Linked DNA regions of Neurospora crassa OR74A. The main gene of each other region encodes a partner of the protein of the gene in region 2 in a complex. Links are inferred from orthologs where the notes say so. Each region holds a gene or a part of one and is shown on either strand. Other genes may lie near its edges.

Region 1 (3,399 bases), about 1.6 Mb from region 2:
TAGTGGTGCCGATTCAAGCCGGTGAGGGAAGCCCAATATAGGTAGGCGCGTACAGAACCATGCGCGATGCGACCTGTACCTGTATTAGGAACCCAAACTTGCCGTAACCGTTTGGCAGTGGGATAGCTGGAGGTCTGATAGTCGAGAGCAAATTGTGAGGTCAATGAGGATATGCTTCCCTTGCTCGAAGTTTGATAACAGCCGGGGCAACGAGTCAGGGACACTTCTAGCCAGTGGATAGAGGGGTCGAGTCGTTAAGTAGTGTAGGCATCCGTCAATGGAATATGTAGGTAGTAACACCGATTTTCGAGCGGCTGGAAACTAAGGCCCGTTTTGCTCCTTGGGCAAGCTTGGAGTTTGGTAGGACCTACTTGTGAACTCCCAATCGCACCTCGTCACATGGAACCCAACTCGATCGGATACTCTTGGCCCGGTGAGCGTGCGTCTTGGTTCAATGGCTCTCGGATGTTGCCGAGAGAAATTGAGTTCTTGTCAAGCACCTGAATTTCAAAGACGGCGCTTCTTGATTCTTGGCACACATGCCTGACAGTCTTGGACACAAGTTTCTTCGCCGCTGCATTGAGAGCCAAGATGGTAGGCGGCTGCTGCAACGCACCATGTTTTCGCTACTAGGTAGTTTGGCAGTTGTTCCCGTTGCTCAGAACCAAAGACAGAACTTGAACGATGGCCAGGCGAAGTATTCCCTCCTCAGCCGTCCGACCATGTTAAAAGGTCGTAGCAGATGATTAATGTGTTGGGATATTGACAAGCTCATCACACGACATGAAAACCCTACGGCACTGCAGAGTTGACGGACATGGTGGGAAGTCGAAGAGAAAGAAATAAACATACCAGGGCGACCTTTCATGGAACAAAAGTGTAGTGTAGTGGATGAGCTGGCGGGCCGTGTCTGTGAGCCGTCCAGCACATCAAATTGGTACTCATGACACGCATTGTTTTACACTGCTGGACGTCACGAAGAAGAGTCTGAGGAACGAAGGCAGGATTAAGAAACTTCGAGGTTTCGATCAAGCCGGTTGTGGTTGGACTGGAAGAGAAGGGAAGGGAAGTTGAGAAGCTAAAAAAGAAAGCTTGGGCCACTCAATCTACGAAGTGTAGTGTAGCGATTCACGGCTCCTGTCGTCAGCCAGTCTGGGGAATGCTACCTGGACCTCAAGGATCCACACTACCCGCACTTACAGCCGGATGGCAGCCCCACAGCGGGGTGCTTGGCAAAGCACAGCTGTGGAAGAAACTCAGCTAGGCGTCACTCCCGCCAGCGGATGCAGACGCCAAAAACGCGACTGACCCAGACGGGACGACTGACCAACCCCACGACATCCATCGCAACCCATAGCGCCAGCCAGCCTGACGACAACAATCGCAGCACCGAACGACATTACCAACACCACAAATCAACACTCGACAATCGCCAATCGGTTCGGTTTCGACGACTTCCTCTCTTCTTCCATACCCACCAGCGCAATACACGGCGCATACTCAATCAACTTCACAAAGAAACAGAACAATGGCCGATAGAGGAAATAGGGGAGGCCGTGGTGGCGGCTACCGGGGCGGTCGCGGAGGTAACCGTGGAGGAGCAGGTGGTTCTGGCTCCGGCGCCGGTGGAGGTCAGGGAGGCGGTGGTGCTCAGGGCGGTGACCGCGGTGAGCGCCCTAAGAAGGAAAACATCCTCGACCTCAAGAAGTATATGGACCAGCGCATCACTGTCAAGTTCAACGGTGGACGTGAAGGTACGTCGTGACATGGCTGTTTCCCGAGTCCCCTCAACGAGCTCCCTTAAAGCTCCCCACAAAGCTCCCTACAAAGCTGACACAAACCCTTCTCTTGTCTTCGACACAACAGTTACCGGTACGCTCAAGGGATATGATGCGCTTATGAACTTGGTTTTGGATGATGTGCAGGAAGCTGTGAGAGGTAAGCTGTTGCCTCCCTTGCCTTTCTCTGCCCAGTGCACCTCGCTCTCTTTGGCCCCAGTTGGTCCTAACCCACGCACCTATAATAGACGAAGAAGGCAACGAAACCACCCGTCCTCTAGGACTTGTTGTTGCGCGCGGTACGCTCCTCGTTGTGATCAGCCCCGTCGACGGAAGCGAGGTGATTGCGAACCCCTTCGCTCAGCAGGAGGAAGAAGCTTGAGCAGAAGGGAATGCTCGTCTGGACAAAGTAAAACTGCATCATTTTCGAAACATTATACCAACTTGGGGATCTGAACGCCATCCCGTCATGCTCGTAAACCGAGCGATACCGCAATTGGACGAGACGACAATTTTGACGAAGGAAAACGGGGCAGGACAGTGAGAAGGAACACCAGGACAGAAACCTGAAAGGTTGAGAGAAGTCTAACAATATGTTATGATATCCGCCCCACTCAAGGATAGGACGGTGCAACAAGGGAAACATTGCTGAGTTGGGTGAGCAAACACCCAGTGTCGAGCATGAAGGAACACAAGTCGGCCCCAGCTACCAACGATACCCACCAGAGGGACTGTAAGAACAGGGGTTGGCTACATCGAGAAGAAACACACATGCAGCTGGTTGCCCTGAGTTATGGTAAACGTCCAGCCAACGCCGTTATTGACGAGTGGGGGAATCTAACTGGAAATCAAGCCAGAAGGCAACATATGCCTGTTCAAGAACGTCCCTTGGCTCCATGAACTCTCGAGCAGCGGCAAGTTTTCTCATTCAGTATCTCCTAGTGGAATGAGAACGCTTGGGAAGATAACGAATAGTTCGGCTCACCGCATACATATGCCAGTTGTTTTCAGCCCACATCCTGCTCTGGGACGGAATTGGGCACGTGTTCTGAGTCTGTTTTCTAGTTCGCTATCTAACATGATCTGCTCATCGCTGTTAACCACTTTCCACCACTTAGTCCACATTTCTTCTTCTCAATCCCCCCTCTTCGCTTTCCTGGTAGGTCAAGCTCGCTTTGGTCGGGCTGCTACGTCCATTATTGTCGTTCAGCCTTCATTTGAGCTGCGATCCATATCCTCGCCATGGCAAAGGCCGTCACCGAACATGTGGAGCCATTGGCTGAAAGCGCAAGTCGAAAGACTCTATATTCAGATGGTAGCCCCCGTCGCGCTCGGTTTACTTTCCTTTCCAAGCTCGCCATACGCACGGTCCAGCATCTGTCGTATACTCCTGTAGCTGACGACGAAAACCGTGGCATTGTCGCGACTGGTGAGCAAGATCTGTTCTTCGGAGCTGGCGTCGAGCTTACTCAAGCAATTGAGGTAGTGATTCGTGTCGAGCCGAGCCTTTCCATCGGCATCCACTTGGTGGAAGACATAATCCCTGAATAGTTTTAGGAGGAGGCGCTCTCCAGTTTCCGACCAGTTGTGCACCCCACAAGAATCGCCCCGCTCGTTAACA
Region 2 (3,042 bases):
TTTCGGTCGAGCTTCTCAATCTCGGGAATCCGAAGCCAAAGGCCTTCATCGTCAGCAGTCAGACCAAAAGGCCGGATCATGGACCCTAAAAGAGTCCACGCATCGCCATGTGCGCTTTTGAAGAGTGCCTGGCCACCAATAGGACAATGTCAGCGCTTCTCTTGTACTATAGGTGCTTCCAATCTCATCATCAGGGCTAAGGTCATGAGGTCAAGCATACCCAAAACATCTGGTCCATGTTCTTACAGATGCAGATATCGACCTGGATGTGTCGTTGCCTGTCCTCTCCAAGCTGGGGTTCGTCTTTGGGCCAGGGGATAGCAAGGTGTATCGAATTATTACATGGGTTGACTATGGAGCGCTCCGCGTTCAAGGCTGCCTTGATGTCGGCCGCAAGCTCCTCCACCCCTCTGGGAATACAACGCCGGGGAGATGTTGGAAAGACGAGGCGGGTCTCCATGGCCACGAGGATGTCGAGGTCTCCATAGTCCTCTTTCTCGGGGCCCTCGACGGGTCCGGCGACGCACACAAACATAGTGCGTAGGGTAGCGTGGCATGCGGCTTTGACATGATGGTAGATATGGGGCGGCATGCGTGGAGTGTGTAGAGGATCGTTACCCGAGGAGAACATCGAGCCACCCATGTCGCAACGATTTGAGCTATTCGATCGTGAACACTGGAAAAGAAAAGCTTGAAGCTACTGAGCAGAAGTCGATGATGGATCTTGAGAAGGCCTGTTAAGTAGCCGATGGATCAGCAAAAAATCTCGAGTACGAGATGTACGAGGCATAATACATAGGTAAGCCGGCGTCAGTGAAGCGCAAAGCTGCCAGGGTTGCCTTCATCCAAACAAGATAAGGCTAAATGCGTTCAACGTATAGATGGAATGGGCTCGATTGGCCTCGGCCCGTGAGGGATACTACTAAAACAACTGAGATTCAACTTGGAAGCTGAGCGGTGCCCGTTTGCCCAGGTTTCCACCTGCTCGACAACCTGGTCGGCAACCATTCTTCACCATCGTCATCGCTCTTGCAGCTATTCCTGAGCCCTCAGGTTCAAGGTATATCGGCATCTTGTACTCGTCGCCCCTGCCCTCAGATTCCCGAGAACTAATTGCGAAACCATTGCCAGGGAGTGAGATGATATCAATAACAAGATGGGTGGGAACATGGTAGCGGTTCGTTTCCATCGCTCGATTATTCTCCTAAACCATGTATGCACTATGCGAAGGATCTGTGGAAAGGCTGAGCGCTGTCACGGTGTGGCAGTGCCTATACTAATGTCGTAGGTACCTACGTATGTCAAAGCTTCCTCTAGGCGCTGCGGGCCGCCTGCAGGACTTTTGCCTAGGTGCAGTACGGGCCTCACGAACGTTGCCCGTTAACATTGATACCGACCAAGCCCTGATAACCTAACGTGCAAGAGCACCAACAATCGTCAAAAGAAGTACCTCTCAAACAACAAACATTCCTCTTTTCGACATCATCACTCCCTAATCTCACCCTCCCGCCTCAACGAGTGCAGCCGCTCTCATTACTACTCAGTTACTCGCTCAAATAAAGTCAGTCCCCTACCCAGCGCACCCAAGTCTAGAGACGTCGCTCACACTCCAAAGTCGTCCCACCGCTTAATATTCCACCTGCTGACACCTCTCCCAGCCGAGTTCCATCACACCAATCGATCAATTATGGAGAACGGAGCCACGTCTCAAAGTGAGGGTAAAGACCCCTCGGGTTTCCTCAGCGAAATCATCGGTAATCCCGTCACTGTCAAACTGAATTCCGGCGTGGTTTACAAGGGTTAGTAGTAGCTTTCACCTCGTCATTTATTGTCAAACTACTGTTGTCTTGCAACTTCTTCTCTCTCGGCAGACACATGCGGAAACTAACAGGACGCCTGGGTTGTGGCACTGCGTGGTGTAGGTGAACTGCAATCCGTCGACGGTTACATGAACATTGCCCTGGAAAAAACAGAGGAATTCATCAACGGTGTGAAGAGGCGGAGCTACGGTGATGCGTTTGTCCGCGGCAACAACGGTGCAGACCCCCCCCCCCCCCCCCCCCCCCTCTCTCTTCCCCCTTTTTCTTTTTTTCTTCTTCTCTTTTCTACAATGCCAGAGTAGCGTCTAATGTTTCTGTAGTCATGTATATATCTGCGGATTAAGGCGGCATTCCAAGCACAGTTGTGTGAGGGGGGAAGAAGCTATGATGGGACGTGAGCAAGCATTCATCGATGTTGGTACTAGGGAACACACGTGCTCGAAGTCCAGCCGGCTCAAGAGTCAGACTTTCAGCTGTTCCTCCGTGCTCAGGTCAGCAAAACAGACTGATCAATCTCACGTGCAGCAGGGGCAACCGCTCACTCAACAACGGGGCCACGTTTGTCATCACATCACCAAGTACGAACTGGGGTAGTTGTGTTCAAGAACGCAACTTTAGTTATTATAAAGGATCCTCTGTATTACATTGCCTGTTTGAATCAACTGCCGACGCTGGAAGCTGATGATCCGCAAACTCGCCCAGCGCCTTGCTCATCCTCCAAATCTGTCTCGAATAGTAAGATCCGCCAATTATCCCCAACTGCAATGCCAACAAGCAAACAGACCATGACAACAAGACTCATTCGTATTCGTTCACAGCTGTGCTCCAAATCAACCAAACCAGGCCGTCATACCAATGCGATGCTAAATGAAGTAAATGCTCCGTTGTCATGCTGTTAACACACCGACTCTCCTTCCAAGAATTCTTCCGAACCTTATCACAGACAAGAAGACCGTTCATCGTGTTTAGTTAATAGCAATGCGAATGGTTTCGTGCTTCTTGGCCTTGGGAACCGTGATGGTGAGGATGCCGTTGTTGAGAGAGGCGCTGACTGCGTTTTGGTCGACACGACCGGGGAAGTTGAAAGTCCGCGAGAACTCGCCAATGGAGCGCTCAGAGACCCAGTACTTTTCGGCTGGCGCCTTTGGCTTTTCCTCGGTGGTGGGTGCGCTTGCGCGTTGGGCGACTTGCTGATTGTTCTGGTTGTTGGCGCCGGTAGCAG

Evidence for each region. The genes of interacting proteins can lie anywhere in the genome.
Region 1: the proteins of NCU10352 (region 2) and NCU01930 are in contact, whole or in part, in a crystal structure (PDB 3SWN), measured with the Schizosaccharomyces pombe proteins. The link is inferred for Neurospora crassa OR74A from reciprocal best matches to the Schizosaccharomyces pombe genes lsm6 and lsm7. Residues at the interface, in NP_594380.1 of Schizosaccharomyces pombe: Leu21, Tyr27, Cys33, Asp35, Tyr37, Asn39, Ala41, Glu47, Tyr57, Asp59, Ala60, Phe61, Ile62, Arg63, Asn66; in NP_588340.1 of Schizosaccharomyces pombe: Ser24, Asp27, Leu28, Tyr31, Gln37, Thr39, Thr41, Gln45, Gln55, Leu56, Met57, Gly90, Thr91, Thr92, Leu93, Val94, Leu95, Ile96, Ala97, Pro98.

What each region holds. Positions count from the first base shown.
Region 1 is NC_026501.1:1,981,625-1,985,023, forward strand, and holds NCU01930 (U6 snRNP-associated protein Lsm7), read left to right. Parts: upstream 1-1,310; 5' UTR 1,311-1,528; coding exon 1,529-1,754; intron 1,755-1,866; coding exon 1,867-1,938; intron 1,939-2,026; coding exon 2,027-2,160; 3' UTR 2,161-2,897; downstream 2,898-3,399. Other genes in the region: NCU01929 (PAB-dependent poly(A)-specific ribonuclease subunit pan-3), read right to left, coding at 3,087-3,399. UniProt on the Schizosaccharomyces pombe protein: Component of LSm protein complexes, which are involved in RNA processing and may function in a chaperone-like manner. Component of the cytoplasmic LSM1-LSM7 complex which is involved in mRNA degradation by activating the decapping step.
Region 2 is NC_026501.1:3,587,558-3,590,599, reverse strand, and holds NCU10352 (U6 snRNA-associated Sm-like protein LSm6), read left to right. Parts: upstream 1-1,470; 5' UTR 1,471-1,561; intron 1,562-1,658; 5' UTR 1,659-1,687; coding exon 1,688-1,799; intron 1,800-1,922; coding exon 1,923-2,036; intron 2,037-2,140; coding exon 2,141-2,163; 3' UTR 2,164-2,539; downstream 2,540-3,042. Other genes in the region: NCU09363 (hypothetical protein), read right to left, coding at 1-128, 221-643; hsp30 (hsp30-like protein), read right to left, coding at 2,786-3,042. UniProt on the Schizosaccharomyces pombe protein: Component of LSm protein complexes, which are involved in RNA processing and may function in a chaperone-like manner. Component of the cytoplasmic LSM1-LSM7 complex which is involved in mRNA degradation by activating the decapping step.